Caenorhabditis elegans: one gene and its partners. The protein of the gene in region 1 interacts with the protein of each later gene in a pairwise test. Each region holds a gene or a part of one and is shown on either strand. Other genes may lie near its edges.

What was found.
Region 2: the proteins of ces-2 (region 1) and atf-2 interact in binary tests that used the Caenorhabditis elegans proteins (3 or more experiments, as listed by UniProt).
Region 3: the proteins of ces-2 (region 1) and T22C8.3 interact in a two-hybrid assay, tested with the Caenorhabditis elegans proteins (2 studies listed by BioGRID).

What each region holds. Positions count from the first base shown.
Region 1 is NC_003279.8:14,959,208-14,966,448, forward strand, and holds ces-2 (Transcription factor ces-2), read left to right. Parts: upstream 1-2,289; 5' UTR 2,290-2,319; coding exon 2,320-2,601; intron 2,602-2,653; coding exon 2,654-2,716; intron 2,717-5,523; coding exon 5,524-5,814; 3' UTR 5,815-6,154; downstream 6,155-7,241. UniProt on the Caenorhabditis elegans protein: Transcription factor. Required to activate programmed cell death in the sister cells of the serotoninergic neurosecretory motor (NSM) neurons. Negatively regulates the activity of ces-1 which in turn negatively regulates the activities of cell-killing genes.
Region 2 is NC_003280.10:8,749,737-8,755,057, forward strand, and holds atf-2 (Transcription factor atf-2), read left to right. Parts: upstream 1-2,249; coding exon 2,250-2,380; intron 2,381-2,454; coding exon 2,455-2,830; intron 2,831-3,060; coding exon 3,061-3,283; intron 3,284-3,365; coding exon 3,366-3,622; intron 3,623-3,695; coding exon 3,696-3,794; intron 3,795-3,882; coding exon 3,883-4,002; 3' UTR 4,003-4,197; downstream 4,198-5,321. Other genes in the region: K08F8.7 (MARVEL domain-containing protein), read right to left, coding at 4,425-4,482, 4,538-4,818, 4,923-5,009, 5,057-5,134. UniProt on the Caenorhabditis elegans protein: Acts as a transcription factor that recognizes and binds to the sequence 5'-[GA]TTA[CT]GTAA[CT]-3', a sequence present in many promoters.
Region 3 is NC_003280.10:8,619,261-8,624,030, reverse strand, and holds T22C8.3 (C2H2-type domain-containing protein), read left to right. Parts: upstream 1-2,047; 5' UTR 2,048-2,056; coding exon 2,057-2,201; intron 2,202-2,286; coding exon 2,287-2,631; intron 2,632-2,888; coding exon 2,889-3,100; intron 3,101-3,179; coding exon 3,180-3,371; intron 3,372-3,419; coding exon 3,420-3,485; 3' UTR 3,486-3,646; downstream 3,647-4,770. Other genes in the region: T22C8.4 (C2H2-type domain-containing protein), read left to right, coding at 539-812, 916-1,127, 1,187-1,375, 1,426-1,476.

The DNA.
Region 1 (7,241 bases):
TTCACTGTGATATTTTAGCATAAAAAAGCGGTACTACTGACATGATTTCATCTTTTACTATTGTATACATAAAAATCTTAACCTCACAAATTCAAATTCAATTCCATTTGAATATATACCCGCCTGTGCAAGTCATCCATAAAAAATTGGCAATTGCTTGAATTCTATAGAATGATGATTGACAAGTGGATTCGGCTTTCGATGAGGAGAAAAAGTGTCAAGTCCTTTTTGGAAGATAATAATTCAATGATCAATTAGACGTCGGCGTTTTTGTCGGGATTAGGAAGATGTGCGCGAAGTTAATTGCGCTCAACACATGTGCTATCGTAAACGGAGCATGCGAGGAAAGACTACAAACATGTCCTATCTTTAGATCAGTGCCAAATAGAACAAGAACTCGGCTGTTTTTGCCACGGAGAATCGGAAACTCGCCTATTTGGATTCATCAAATTTCAAAGTTTGTGTCAGGATTGTGAGCCTGAAGTAGAGCGTAAATCTTCATAATGTAAATATGATTCCAATAAAAAATTCAAAAACCCCGTATCAGTGCTGTGCGGCTCTTGAAAAAAGTCGGCTCGCGCCGAGAGCCGAGTTCAAATTTTTTTCAGCTCTCGGCTTCCGCCGAGAGCCGAGAGCCCCACAGCACTGCCCCGTATACCCTCCGGTAGGCTAGATTTGTAACAGTTACGCAGTATTACTAGCCATTGCGTAAGTTCAAAAGAGGGACCGATGAGCACATGGTACTTGAAAGAGGATGAAAGGTCGGGAGGATGAATATTGTTGCATGAAGAGAAGTGATTTCGGATGCATGTGAAGCCTTGGTGGTAATATTAATGATATCCCTCTAATATTGAATTTTTAAGATGTGCTCTCAAACGTGAGGGTTTAATTGTTGAAAGTAAGGCCATAAAATTAAAACCCTGAATTTTAGAATACTGACTGCTGGTAATTAAATCTTCATTTCTCATTGATTTCAGGTGATTTCAGACAGCATCAAAACATTCATTCAATGTTTCAACAAATCCGTAACCCAACAAACCTTATTACCTAATGACTACCTACCATTCAAATACTTGCGTAATGATTGTCTCTTCCTCCATGTCTACCACCAACCCCTCATTCTCCTCTTCAGAAGAAGAGCCGACGTTCCAATGCACACGAGACACCTATCTCTCATAGAAAACGAATATTCAAATGCCATTGCATACGGTTGCTCTGCGTCTCGTTCTCTTCCCGTGCTCTCTAGTGTTGCGCACTGTTGCACCCTCTGATGGCCGGTGGTGACCTCTTGGAGGGCGGGCGGAAAATGCTGCCACCCTCATCCCGCATACCGCCTGTCATTTCTCGAGACAGCCGACGCGCAATCACTCTTATGCTCCGATGGGTATATGGGGCAACAGGGTGGTCCCAGTAGACCCAATTTCTTACAACTTCGTTTTTTTTTAGTTTTTGATTCTACTAATAAAAAATCATATGTAACTTTGAACTACAAAAATCGCGCAAAACTCTTAAGATGTTTCCAGTTACAATACTCTGATAAAACTTAAATTATTCACAAAAAAATATAGATTTCAAATATGACTACTGTAGAGGTCATTTCATTTCCTCCCCATCTAACGTATGCATCTTGAATTTTCTTCAGTGATCATTTTTGATTAAGAAATGTATTCTAGAGCTAAAAACTTGAATTATATTATATACTCTTTTGTAATAACAATTAGCCTACTTCAACTTTTCATTTTAAGATATGACAAGCAAAATTCCAATTATTTTGATTAAACACAACTTTTCAAACTTGTTAAGTAACTTGAGGATCCACATTGACTTTATCAGTACTCACCGCTTATCTAACAACCTCTACCAATTCAGGTTCCACCCTAATCCTAGATTGTCTCTTTCCTCCATTTCCTTTTACTCTTTTTTATGATTGTGCAAACATTTGACCTCTTTCTTTTCTACCTTCCAATATATTCTTCTGTTCAATTTAATTTACCATGGGCATATCTTTGTTTTTTTTTTGAAACGGAATTGGATGGTGTAACCTGAAACATGGCTGGTCTATAGTTGAATTTTCAAGCTTATAGTTTATGAAACTCTAAAAATGTTTTAATCAAAAGTTCAATATTGACGTACCCTATTACATCAATTAAAGGATTTTTTTGGGAATTTTCCATCTAGCCTTTGTCTTCTAGGGTTAAAACTATTCACTTAGCTTATCCATCGGAAGTTTAAACTGAAAATCAAACATTTACCTCTTCAACTCTCTTATAGTTAATAAATCTGTGTCTTTTTTAGCCCCAAATTATCACAGCAGACGCAATGGACTTTCATAGAGCACTATCGGCGCTTTTCACAAATCAAGCAGCCGTTCAACCACTGCTCGGCTCACTTGGTTTCCCATTCAACGACGGAACTTCTATTCTGACGACTGCACTTGCTGCACAGTCCGGCGGAAAGAAGTTGGACACTCCGTTGGGGATTTTACCATTTGACTCACTGCCCACGACAAATCTTTTAACACCAACCAAGAAGATCAAACTAGAAGATGAATTGTGTGCCAGTCCAGTGTCAAGCAGGTCGAGTACGGTTAGCAGTTCACACGTGAGTTGGGAAAAATTATTAGCACTTATAAAACTATTGGAATTATTTTCAGTTTTCAAGTCCCCAACGGTCACCATCACGAAAGATGTCGGTTCCGATTCCAGAAGAAAAAAAGGTTTGTTTCAATTTTTTAAGTTTCAAGTGTATACAATTCCAAAAAATCTGAAAACCAATAGAGACTTACCATGAGGTTAAAAATATTCATAAATCGTATTTGCGTGGTCTTAAGTTCAAATCACTACAGTTACGTAACACGACTCCTGTTAGTTACGCAACGACGACCGCGAGGTGTCTGTTGGAGATGGTTTATGGGTGTCAGAATTTTTGATAGTGTGAAAGTCAACTAGTATTAACGCCCCCACCCAAACTATTATAATTATAAGTTGCCTTATTTACCGTATTCCTGGAGTTTCCTCTTAGTGCGGAGCATTGTCAACGCCATTTTGTCTCTAAGCTATGCTAATGAATAATTACTCCTAACAATCCCAATTCAAAAATCCGCTGGTTGTTCCTGGGATAATGCGGTACAGACTGCCTCCAATTAAGAGCTCTTCGAGATTCGGCTCATTGTTTAGCACCACCCAACTGTTGCCATAAGAAAAAGAAGGGGTAATTACATACAGTCTACCTGACAGAGAAACCTTCATGTGTGTGGAGGAATTTGAATATGAATATACGAGAGGGGCATGACCGGACAGGAAGGGGTGTTGCGCAACTATACCCCCGTAGAGGACTTGGGCTACCATTTATATTATTCAAATGAGGCGGGAATTCAAAAAATTAAGATCAGCATCACTTCTTGTTCAGCTAGCATCAAATACTAAGTAAGCTATATTTACTGCGTCGTACAAGTACCCACATTCTCATTTTGTAAAAAAATTGTAATTTTTCGTAGCGCCAGTGCGAAATGGCCAAATATCATAGTGGCACGTTGCCGGCCAATATTCTATTTGCTTTCGGTTTTATGGCCATTTGCCTGAGTTTTTCAAACACATATTACTTAAATACTATAATAGTTAACAAATAATTTTCAACTAACAAAATGTTACCGGTTACTTTTTCTACATGTGTAATTTAAAAAAATAATTTCCACAGAATTTTCAACTTTTTGCAATTTGTTGTTTTGTCACAAAGTGCCCAGGGAAATTTATACAGATGACTAAACATGCATTACAAAAGTCAGAACTGACCAAATTTTCTGTAAATGCGAGCAAAATTTTTGTTTAGGTTCTGAGTTTAAAAACATTTCAAACATGTTGCAAACATTCGTGATGTAAGTTTTCGTTACAAAAACTATTATATAAAGCTATTTAATAGGATTTTTAAAACATGCTCAAAATCTAGAAATTTGAGAATCATGTTCAATCCTCTGTATTATTTTTCCTGGTCGATTGATGACAGAACTGCAAATGGCAGAGTGTAGAAAAATTGGTGCAAATTATTTTCTTATTAAACTTTGTTTCATGAGCACAAAGTTGTGGGTCACTTAGCAATTCTAGTCAAAATATAGTCCCGGCTGATTTCAGCTGATGTAGCTTTTTTCGTAATAAAGTTATGTAAACCAACATCAAGAGTGTAGACAAAATGAACGGCAACATTTTGTTAATTAAAAATATTTTGCTAGATGTTATCGTATTCGAGTTATACTTGTTTGAACAACTCAAGCAAATCACCTTAAAAGCGAAAACGAATAGAATATTGGTCGGCACTGTATATGTTGTCGTTTTATGAAACTTTAATGTCCTTCTGTAACAAAAGACTCAAACTTTTTTGGCCTAACGCATATTACATCTAAGTTTTCTTTTACGGGCGGTGCCCCTCCGAGCATAAAACATACGGAAAAATATATAGAGGGGTCGTACATTTTACACAACAAAACCCACTCATTCTGGTGAACGGCATACGGTGGTTAGAAGAGAGGCTTACACAAAACACAACTGTCACACCGATTTTTTGAATAAACTTACGTGAATATGAGATACTTTTCCTTTGATATTTAATATGGGATTTGCGATAATGTGTAGCTCTTGTTTTATAAAACGGAATAACTTTGGCATATTCCTTAATAAAGTATATGAAAACTCAAAAAGTCGCATAAGAAATAACTAGTAGTGTATGTGTGCTTCATATCTTTTCGGGGATATGAAATATTAAAAACGTACAACTAATGAAATGTATAAAATTATTTAATTATTGTATTTTTGCTTAAAAAAGTTCTTCTAAATAATTTATCTTGAAGCTACATGGAAAAATGGGGAAAAATGGTATCATCAAAATTTCGGCCTAGCGTACTTCAACTGACCCTAACTCAAAAACAACAAAAGATACAGAACAGTCATCAACTAACACATTGTAGTGCTTGAAATGCTTGTTAATTTTGTAGTTGATCATTTTTTCATATCTTTTACGTTTCAGGAGTTAGCGTCGTTCAAAGTTTAAAAAGTCATGTTTGCAAGCATTTTCGGCACTTTCAACTGATATTGTTGTATCGATACGCTATGTATGAGGATGTTATTACACTAATGTGCTAAACTAATAGTCTATTACCTGAGGGTGTATAAGTTTTCGATTTCCCAAAGAAATGACAAAAATCGGAAAAATTAAATGTTTTGATCGGCAGAGAACGGAGTTGGAAATAATCTTAACGGTGCCCATCATGGCTGATATTGATAGGCTTGTCATTCTAACTGTCTTCTATATATCCACAAAAAATATCCTAGAAAAAATCAAAACTGAAAAAAAAACGACAAAACTTATTTATCACCCTAATAGAATTATGATTCTTTGCTAGGCTAACTGTGCTTAGAGATTTATTAATTCCTAGTTGATAGGCTTTTCGCAAATTGTGTATTACTTTTGTAGACTAATAAATTCCTAGTTTCTGAAAACTTAACAAATCACAATTAATCTCAGCAATTACAGGACTCTGCATACTTCGAGCGTCGGCGCAAAAACAACGATGCAGCGAAACGTTCGAGAGACGCACGTCGTCAAAAAGAAGAACAAATCGCATCAAAAGCTCATGCTTTAGAACGGGAAAACATGCAACTACGTGGAAAGGTCTCAAGCTTAGAGCAAGAGGCCGCGCAGCTCAGATTTCTCCTCTTCTCCAAAATCTCACCAGCAAATTCTGAAGTGTCCTGCGAGTCAAACGATTCAACGGAAACTAATGATTCTAATGATTCTAAAAGCGATTCAACCATTGAAGTATGAAATTGTTTGTATTTCATATACCGGACGCTTAAAAAAAGATTAGTGTTGTTTACGCACTTTTGTTGTAAATTTACAGTCGTTACTTCAAAGCTTCTATTTATTTGAATGTTTCTCTAGGTTCTTGAAATTGCTTTATTTTTCTTTCCTTAGCTTTAAATCGGTTCTCTATACCACCCATTCATCTTGATCTATCTCTTAAGCTTTCATTCTCCCTACCTCAATCCCCTATCAGGTTATTCATCTGCGGGTGCGTGTATATTTCCTGATAGTTTTTCAACTTATCATTGATGATTTTTCTACAAATTCTTATTTTGACAATAAATATTGTGTATGCATTTTATGTACTTTTTTGACATTTTTTTTCTAAATGGTTCAGAAATATATGTATTTGATATATTATAGTACACAATATAATAAGATCTGTAACCAACTTTGTAATATTTTGCACTTTATAATAGTTCTAAAAGAATTAAACCTGAATTTTTTAACTCGGAATATATGAATGAGTTTTAAACAATTCCAAATATTTACATTCTTGACTTTTTGTAGCCATTAATTTATTATAAACTGTAGAAGTGACACTTGTCACTATCTAAAATTCGGTGTGCTAGGCAACACTCCTAAGTTATTATTTGTTGCTCCTCGAATTTCAAAAAACTTCTCAAAATTTATGGCGGTTCAAAATTTCGAAAAAGTACACTGATTATAGCTAGCATCTCAAACTTTGCTTACTTTTCTGTGTCGCATCTGTCCGATGTTGAATTTTTTGGAATTATCGTCTTTTATTGCATTTTTTGGTATTTTATTTTTATTTTTTTATTGTTTTATTTCGTTAATTAAACCGATAGGTAATCAAACATCCTCTATATTGTTTACATCTTTAAATGTACATTTTGGGTCGAACCGTTCAAAATCTTCCAAACTGTTAGTTCTCCAAAAGTTCTAAGAAAGTTTCAAGTTATATTCACATCGATTTCGCAATTTTCGCCAAAGTTCATATTTTATTACGCCTTCAAGTGCTAGTAAAACTTTTGTTTTTAACTTTTTGAACAACTCTGACAATGAGTAACATCAAAGTTTTCTGAATAAATTAAAGTTATTATCTGACATCAACACACTTATAAACTGAAATCATGATTATTTCGAACGTTCCGCAAAGTGGCCTTTGCTGCGTCATCACATCTAAATTCTAAGCCAATTCATCCGTGAAAGTCTTCTTTTTCGTTGTTTTCCCATAAAGATTAAGTGATTCGAACACAACAAACACTTAGCCTCCCACTTTTTTATATTTCTTTTTTTTTCGCTTTCCACCTTTTTCTCTAACTTTCTCTCTTTCTTTCTTTAGTTTTCCAAAGTTCTAATTGCCGCCCGTTAAGTGGATCTACTATTTTTATTCTTACAATTTTTTGAATCAAGGTATATTGAGA
Region 2 (5,321 bases), on another chromosome or scaffold:
TTATTTATAATTCCAATATTTATTTTTTTGTATGAACCTTACCGTATATTAGTTTGTTTGCTAATATCCAAATTTACAAAAGGCTGTTTTTCGGCCAATCTTAAATTTTGATAGTTTGATGGAAAACACTTATTTTTACTAAAATAATCGAAAACGTAACCTGGAAAACGCTACACCGTCTTTAACTTAAGAAAAAAAAATATAACTAACTCATTTTATTTGATTAAAGTTGTTGATTCAATAATTTTGAAACAGTTTTCATTAATTCACTTTTCAAAGTGGGCAGACTCAAAGAATACCTCTTTTTCATGTGAAAAGCTAAAACTTCACTTGTTCCAATTTAAAAGTTCTAAGAAAATAACAGTTCTTCTTGACAATCCTAGATTCAAGTAAAGATACCTTTATCTAAAATTGAATTTCAATTTTCTCTCCTCTTTTTCCAATTTCATTCACTTTCCTTCCCATAGCCTGCATACTTTCACCGACTCGTTCCCGAACGATATGATCGTGCTAGCCACTCTCTCTTTCTCGTATCGAACTGCGATCTTTCAGTTCCCAACAAGAATACCATCATTTCAACACCTCACTTTCGCAATCAACTACCAAAAGTGCACTCTCACTCTGTTACTCTACCTAACCGTATTATCCGCTCTCCATGTAAAACTACTGAAGTAGACACAGCAAGGGACAGGCACACACTCACTGGTCATCAAAATCATCAAATGATGCAGTGAATTTGGCTGTTCTGGTTTGCAGACAAAAAAGTTTTGGAAGCGGTGCGGGAGGATAGTGGACACTGTTTGTGATTCACTTCTCGTCATTCTCCGAGCCTTACAAACAAACAAAAATAGCTCTCTCTTTTCGCTGACGATTGTCCCCCAACACGGGCGGCGGTTATTTTGGCTCTCGCCACTCTTTTTCAAGGTGCACAATCAAAAACAAACAAGTCCAGCCCGATTTCGCGAATTTGTTCATCTAGTTCAACGCATTTTTTTCATTTTGAATACATTTGCTTGTATCGTTTCCGAGTTTCTTGAACAATTACTTTCAGAATTGAGTATCATTTTTTGTGTTCAGCAGTGAAAAATAACCAAAATTTCTCTATCAGGCTTGCACTCACATTGGTCATATTTTACAGTCCTGACCTAGAGTGCGTTTATGAATTTTTCAAGACTTTTGTTTATCTAAACCTACCAATTTTTTCTTCGTTATCTTTTTCAACTTTATCTTTTAGCCGTATCTCATTATTCACTTTCCACCCAGTAGCTTCATCCTCTTGTCTTCCAATTCTCCGCAAAGTTCACCTACCCTTTTGTACTAGTGACCTGATGCGACGAATTCAACCATTGACCTCCTCCTCCTTCTCACACTTAGACACACATACATCCGTAACCCGAAGCAGCGAAAGTTAAGCATGAAAGCGAAAGGAAAGTGAAAACAATTAGGAAAAGTCGGCATCATCATGGATCGGAGGAGGCGACGCGTTGAAGTCGTTGCGAACGATGAAAAATGATTAGGAGACGGGTCGAAGAAAAAGAGAAGGGACTGCAATGAAGAGAGAAGGGGGCGAAAGTCGGAGGGGATATCCTGTTCTTCGACTGGTTTATTGTAGAGACTGAGAGTGAGAGGATCTACCAAGCATTGTCCGAAACATTGACCATGGCTAACTGGTTTGCAAGGCGCAAATAGGTCAACTGAGGAGAGGCACAACACCGCTTAATTGTTGCTAACTGCACTCTACACCTACCATATGAACACACCTGTACCAGATATACTTTGTTTTCTCACCTTTTTTTAAGTTAGTGATTTTCTGGTTGTCTAGATACTCAGGGATTAGCATTGCGTAAGATCATCTTCACTGAAACCAAAAACTGAATAATTTTTGTATACACATTGGTCAATTAAAATGGCTTACAATTAATTAATAATATCTGGAAACAGTGAACACATTGAACTTCTGATTGTGCTGAATCTCCAAAGATCGTGTCAATTTCAACTCAAAAAGACGTATTTGTCCTTACATCAAATAGGTTGACAGCTTCTTTTAACTCTACTAACTTTCCATTTCAATACACCATGTGTACTAACATTTTGAAGTCAAAATATAAATGTTGTGTCTTAATTCATTTTGAAAGATTTTGGTATTCATATTTCTTTCACCGATGTTCTTTTCTTTCAAATTTCGTACTTCTATATTCTTGATTTTCTTCTTTTGTTTGACTTTTAATCATCTTATTTTTATTTTTCAGATGGACGTCGACTCGGCATCATTGTCACCGTCCTCCAGACTTTCGGTGGTTTGTTCGGCATCCGCCGAGTTCTCATCGAGCTCGTCGGATTCGTCGAACTTTTCAGAAGGATCTCCCCCGGAATCTAGAAGGTTTGAATTTTTAACAGTTTGATGAAACTTTTGAAAGTTTAAATACTTTTCGACATTGATAACTATTTTTCCAGAAATTCCGTAAACGAAAGTGTAATAAAAGATGAACATTACTGGGAAAGGCGACGGAGAAATAACGATGCATCAAGAAGAAGTCGAGAAAAGCGAAGGCAAAACGATCTAGCAATGGAAGAAAAAATAATGTTACTTTCCGCCGAAAACGAACGGTTAAAATCTCAGTTAGGAACGACACCAATTCCACAACCATCAGTAACAGAGCCTCCAACATCTCTGATTATTCCCCAAGTTGCAAAGAATCTTTTCCCAGCGGGTCCAATAGCATCTTTGCAAGCGAGTTCAATGCTTACTGTTCCATTGCTCCAGGCAGCTTCGCATATTCCATCAATGTTGCAGCTTTGTCAACTACAGCCAACAACTATTCAGTCACCGGTAAGTTATTTTATTGAACTTGGAAATATCGAAATTGTGATGATTTAAATAAAATAAATTAACTCGTGGAAAAATATTTACTATTACAAAAACGTCTGAACCGCATATAAAGTTCCATTGTCATTTTTTGGCAACACAACTCAGATTGTCAACAATTTAATGAATACATTGACAGCTGAATGCGTGACCTAGAAAGACAGATGTCCCATAACGTTTTTCCATGTTTGTAGGTCTATGCGAGCACTCAACAACCTGCATCAACGTCAGCATCATCTTTATTCTCTTCATCGTCTTCATCTGCATTTCATCCTTTTCGACCATCAGAAAGTGCTCAGCAGAGTTTTCCATCGAGTAGCGTAATTGTGAAAATTGAACGAAGAAGTCCAGATTCATCAACTGACGTGAATATGCCTCAACCTCAGTTACAGCCTGGATCTAGCGTTATTCAACAAAGTAAGTCGTTGTTTTTGAAAGTAAAGAGCATATTTTCATTTCACTAGTATTAATTGAAACTATAATCTAAAATTTATTTCAGTCGGTCAGCCTGCTCCATCAGGTACGCCTCAACCAGTAATCCAAGCTGTTCAACAAGGACCATCCCTGCTATCTGCTCTTCTTTCACAGCGAAGACCTTCTCCTACAGTACCACAAAGCCGAACGGAACATATTTCGGGGCTAAATTCCCCTCCAAGACATACTGGAAACAAATCAGACTGTGAAAGTGTATCGTCTTCAGCATCTTTCTCTCCATCGCATTCTTCGGAAGATCACTCAAATTATTCGAACAAATCGGTAAGTTTTTTTAAAGGAATTGAAAGAAGACATTTTTAAATACATGTCAAATATTTCAAAAAAAAACTTTCAGCCCCAATATGTGGACAGACGTCGAAGGAACAATGAAGCCGCAAAAAGATGTAGAGCAAATAGACGAGCAGTATTCGAATACAGGTCACGACGAGTTCAGGTAAGTTGAAACTAATTTTAATAGAAAACATAAAATTTTAAAACTTAGATATAAATTTATTGAATCAATTATTACTTAACATTTTCAGCTCTTGGAAGGTGAAAATGAAGATCTTCGTACCCAAATCGAAACGCTAAAAGCAGAAATAGCCCACTTCAAATCAGTTTTGGCTCAAAGAGCATCAGTTGTTACTGCCCTTCACCCTTGATCCCATTCCATTTTCTTATTTTTGACTAATACGGATAGAAAGCCAATTTTCTTCGTCTTCTCGCTAGATGCCCCCCAATCAAAGTCTTTCGCTCTCAAAAAACCCTTCCTCTCTTTCTGCAATACTTCCAATCATTCATGTGCAATACTTTTTAACTTTAAATGTTTCATTAATTGTTTCTAATAAAACCAATGTGTTATTATTTTTGATTTGCTTCCTGTACAAAAAAAGGTGAAACAACAAAAAAAAGTAAAGTCTGCAAACGATTTTTAAAATCCACCCGTCGCTTGCCAGAAAACGGAAACTTTTCAGAATGATATAACTGAATCAGAAAATTGTTTTATTAATGTTTCATATATACAAATTATTATGAGAAAGTGAATTTAAAGTTGAGCATTGATAATTATTTGATTACTTTTCCATTAAACAGAACTTGTTTGCCCTTTTCGTTGATACTCCATGTAAATGTCATGTATACTTCTGAAAGGACATGAAATATAAAATATTTCCTAATTTTATGCAAATCTTGACCCACTTTTCCGTTTCGATGACGGCAACAGACGGTGGCGGAATGTCATAAATTGGCGCCTTTTTTGAATTACGATAAAAATAGAAGGCATTCAGGCCTAGATCCAGAAGTCCAAATACTAGAACCAAAAAGCAAAATACTGAAGCAACTTGGAATGTTCCAGTGGAAACTGATTGATAACATCCGTATTGAGTTATTGCTCGGGAGTCACAACCATCATTGGCAATTAAAAACAGAATTGCAGAGACGAGAATGGAAAGAGCAAAAACAAAAGTGAATAGACATCTCTGGAATTTTTTGACAGTACAAATCTACGCGTTATCAACATTAAAAATAAAACGAATTAAGAAGTTTGGGTTTTTTTTCAAACTTAAAATCTTTTAAAAATTACCTTAACTATGGTTGTAGTTTCAACATCCCATATAAATAATATAGACACCGCTGAAGCTGAAAACAGTAGTGCAATGATTACGAATAGCTGAAACAAAACATTAAGTTCTGACCTTGAAGATTATTATAGCTTACCAGTCCAAATACGGCTGATACTCGGTTAGTCCAATACTGGCTGAGTCCAATTATGAATATTACAATAATACAAAAAATCTGAAATTATAACTGTTTTATTTCTCAAGTTTTTGGATTGGATAGAAAACATTTTAGTTTGGAAACATTAATATATCTCAAACTGTCAAAAGAAAGAAGAAATAAATAAGTGTTCTGAAAATATTTTTAATTATTACTTCCATGTTCGGAAAGGTGCCCAAAAATTTCTAAGATCTTTTCAAGTTAT
Region 3 (4,770 bases), on another chromosome or scaffold:
CTGTAATATTTTATTTTAACATAAAATTACTGTACATATTTTGCTTCCTCTATGACAGTTGCGTACCTTTCAGTATTGCACTGCTTCATCTGTTCTTTAAACTTATTAGCTTGTCATAATGTTGTCATAGACAGGCAACTTGCAATTTATATAATTATCGTTTATAATTATCAAATCTATCATTTTTACAAATTGTTCAAAACAGTTCCATTTCTATTGTTGTCTCTATTTCTCTCCCGTCTGCCAATACTATTTCACTGTCGTTGCAAGTGTTTTGTTAGTTAAAAAGGTCAGGTCATTTCCTCAATCTGTTCGCACCGTGCAGAGTATCGCACCGCAATAAACATATATCCAGAAGAAAGGAAAGATGACAGTCTTCTCTTTCTTGTTTCCCTCTACTTTTTGCTCACTTGTTGTGGTCATAGTCATCTGCTCAACATCACTCTTAACACATTGCACAACAGCTTTTTTTAAATTTTCTTTAAAATATGTCTTTATTTTGAGACATTTGCATCAAACTCCCGTTTTTCTTTCAGATATGAATACTAGCAATTCAACATCAACTTCATTTGGTAGTGATCAAATGGATATTGAAAATCACTCACCAAAGCTATCCGGTGTTGCTCCCAAAAGACGAAGAATTGATAAATCTTCAACTTCATCGGAAGCAAAGATACAAAGAATGGAAGACGCGATGAAGAAAAAATTGGAAAAGGAACAGAAAGAAAAAGCTCGATTGAAGAAACGAGAAGAGACTTTGAAGAAGAAATCTGAAACAGCTGCAGCAAAGAAGAACAAAATTGTTGGAGCTCGTAAGTTAACCAAAATAAATATGCTCAACATTCTGTAAATCACTTTATCATCCCACAATCAAAACCTTAACTGTTACCAAAATTGAACTCGAAAGGTTTTCAGCAAGCGAAGACCCGAAAATTCGAGCTCTCCAATGTGATATCTGCTTTGCATTATTTAAAAATGCTGATAAGAAAAAACGCCATGACCATTCTCATAAAGATGAGCCAGAGGTATACTGTCCAATGTGCAATGCTCCAATCAAGTATAAATACAACTTGAAGCAACATATGAACAAATGTCAACCGAGCCAGAAAGAAATGGAACAAGGCAGTGTGAGTTGAAACTTTTAAGCAAAATGTGTTATATTTTGAATTTCGAAAACTTTTTTCAGATGCTCGCCAAAGCTTACCCGGACTACTTACGTCAACTTCAAGAAGCTGCAGTTAATCCGTCTCTTCCAATGCCAACTTTGAATGGAATGCCATACAGAATGGATCGATATTCATTTGTCACTGGATTCGATATGAGTCTTGATGTTCATTTGGATGTGATGCTCCCGAAATATCCCACAGACGTTTTTGTATGTAATTTGCAGTTATACGTAACATTATGATAATAGTATTTTTTTAGTCAGAAGATGAGGACGCCTTAGACGATGTCAATTTGTTTGATGAGAAGTGATTAGATATTTGTATTCGTTATGGAATTTCATAATTGTCAATTCTTTGTTCATTTTGCCACAGCTGGTATTTCAATCTACATTTTTTCTCGTTAATAAACATCATACGGAATTATTTTTGAAAATTAATTCGAAGCATCAAACTTAAAAGTATAGCTTGGATCGGGCAAATAATTTTGGAACTTTAGCAAACTATATTCTCGTGTTACTAAACATTTTTTCCAGTGAGACTACCGCGTTCTTCTCTCTCACATACAAGACCCCCCACCCGTCCATTTCAAATTCGCTCTATTGAACTACATGTTTCAAACACCGCAAATTTGAGCTCACACAGCTGAGCTCTCATGCTTTTATCAGTTTTTTCTTCTCTCATCCAACTAAATTATCTGTTTAATTTCTCGATTTCTATTCGTTGGTTGTCATAGTGACGATCGATAATTATAATAAAGCACAAGGACTGATTATATACTCAAAAATTATGAAAAAATGCTTACATTTATACTTTGTCTTATGTACATTTTAAATTGATGATTCTTCATGAAAAGCTATGTACCAACAAACTTTGAAAATTTTGTTTCAGTCATGGCAACCACCGAACAACTGGCTAATACCACGCAAAAAGAGCCTGTTATTGATTTAGATCAAGATAGCAACATGGAAATTGCTCATAAAATACAAAACCAAACAAAAAGACTCCCAATTTCCGAACCGGCAAATAAAAATAAAAGTGAGATTTTAAAAATGTATGATTATTGCAATGCATGATTATTAATTTGTGACCTTCAATGTTTTCTTCATTTTTAAAGCTTTAGATGTCACAAGCAAGCAGAATAAAGAAACAAATAGAAAAACATTTGAAAAATCAAAAAGAATGGCAACGTCAACGATTCAAGATCGTGTTTTGAGGACTCAAAAAACTCGAAAAGACAAAGAAAGCACTACTGAAAAAGTCAATGCAATACTTAAAAAATCGGCGAAACAAATTAAAGTCCGAGAAGAGGAAGAAGGAGATGATGATTTGGAAGACGAGTTGACATTGTACCCATCTAAAAGAAAAATGATGGTAGGGTCAAAAAATCGAAAAAGGACTATAAAGCCAAATCGGGATACTATCGCAGAAGAGCAAGAAACTGACGGAGAACACGGAGTAAAGCAAAGTGAGTTATAAATAATAATATTTTTTAAAAATCTATATACATAGTCATCAAAAACTTATTCGGTTCATTTTCACACCTATTCAAAAAACAGAAATTAGCTTGCATATCAGATTTCGAGAAGAGTTTAAGTTTTGAATAGATTATAAAACAAAATATAAACGACATGTTTTTGAAATTTGGGGTAAATTGGCGCACTTCATATGTGATGAAGAATATCTCACTTTAGTTTGAAATTAGTTTAAACATCTATATTCCAGGAGCATTTGATCCAAAGCAAAGACATCGTCAATGTCCAGAATGTCTACTTCTTTTCTCAACTCCGGACAAACTGAAGCGTCATATGAAATCGCATGGAGACGTTCCAGATGTATACTGCTCACTTTGTAACACTCCTATTAAGTTTAAGTATAATTTGAGAGTGCACCTAGAGAAGTGTTATGATAAAATGAAACTCAGTCTACATGATAGTGTGAGTTTTCATATTAAATTTTAATAGTGGTAACGTCTTTACATTTTTTATTAATTTCTCATTATTTTGAAAATTTCAGATGCTCTCAAAGGTGTATCCTGATTTCGTGCGAAAACTTCAAGAAGCTGCAAAAAATCCCGTTCTCCCAATGCCAACTTTAGAAGGAATGCCATACGAATTCACTTTAAAAGGAGTTGTTGGATTCGATACGTCTTTGGATATCACTAAGGATTTAATGTTAGCAAAATATGAGCAAAAGAAACAAAGAGAGGTTAGTAACTATTAATTATTTGATTTTATTTAAAAAGTATTTTTCCAGTTAGCAGGAATTGATTCGGACGATTCGGACGAATTGGACTATTTTGATGATTTCCCAGATGAATGAGATTTTCCACGATAACGATTGCACGAATTGAAATTAATTTATTGAAAACTATACAACTTCCGCGATCTCTCACAAAATTTGCGGCTATTATATTTGTTCACTGTAATTTGTATTAATGTACATTTCATTCCATGATGAATAAATTGTTCAAAATAAGTTTAGAATATTCTAATTTCAAAACAAATATCAAGTGCAAATGGAAATTCATCTGATTGGTTTTAGCAATTGTATGTGGTGCGGTGTGAGATTTTGTTGTCGTGTGTGCATTGTTGCGTCTAAAATACCAATTTCCTGCTGGATACATCACAAAATAACCATGGCAAAGCCTATTTAATTATACTGACATTTTCTTAGTTTGAAAATATTCTGAGCAGAAAATACCAACAAAAAAACTACGAGTGCTGAAAATATTTGAAACAACGCAATTTCATATGAAACAGTTTTTTGTGAATCCTCGTGCAAATTTTACGATATTTATAAAATTATATTCATATCGAGTACTCGAGTACATATCAAGTAGATAAGTAGGCACACAGACAAAACTAAATATCTATTTGTATTTCTTATCTTTTTCTGTTCCTTCTCTCAATCGGATATTTTTCTTACTATGAAACCGTTTATCCACCTACGCAACAATTTTTGTAGCTTTGTTTTCTGAGGATTTCCTTCAAATTAACTGTGATCTAATTGATCATGCATATTTATGGCTACTGCAAACTTTATTTAGTACATGCGTGTTATCGACTATCTCATTCAATGTTTTTTAAAAAATTTTAAAAAGTTTAATTTTTTAATTTGAACTTGTTTCATTTGGACGTATTATTAAATACTATGTTTACTAGGTCTGGCGGAGTTTATGAAAACTGGTAGTGAAAAATAATCTGACAAATAAGTTCATAAATGAAACAGTTCACTGTTTTTATTTTACTTTGTTGGTCTGTTATCGGCAGTTTCAGATCTCTTCAACTTACCCTTTAGGTCCAAAATTGAAAACAATGAAAGTAAAAATGAAAAGCTAATTTACAAAGTTGCCTGTTTCAAATATAGACAAACGAAGTTAAATTTTATTATACATATGTATAAAGTACTATTTCTGATTTCTTTTTTTCATTTTTCATTCATTTCCATGCTATTAAATTTAGAATTATCTCATAATTTGGTTTTGTAGCGTATTTTAATAGAATTTTCTTGTAGTTTTTTGAATGTTTATTTGATCATTTGTTTCTGAAAAAATTTAAAAATCAGCTAATTTTTCAACGACCCATTTGATTGCCACAAGTGAAAA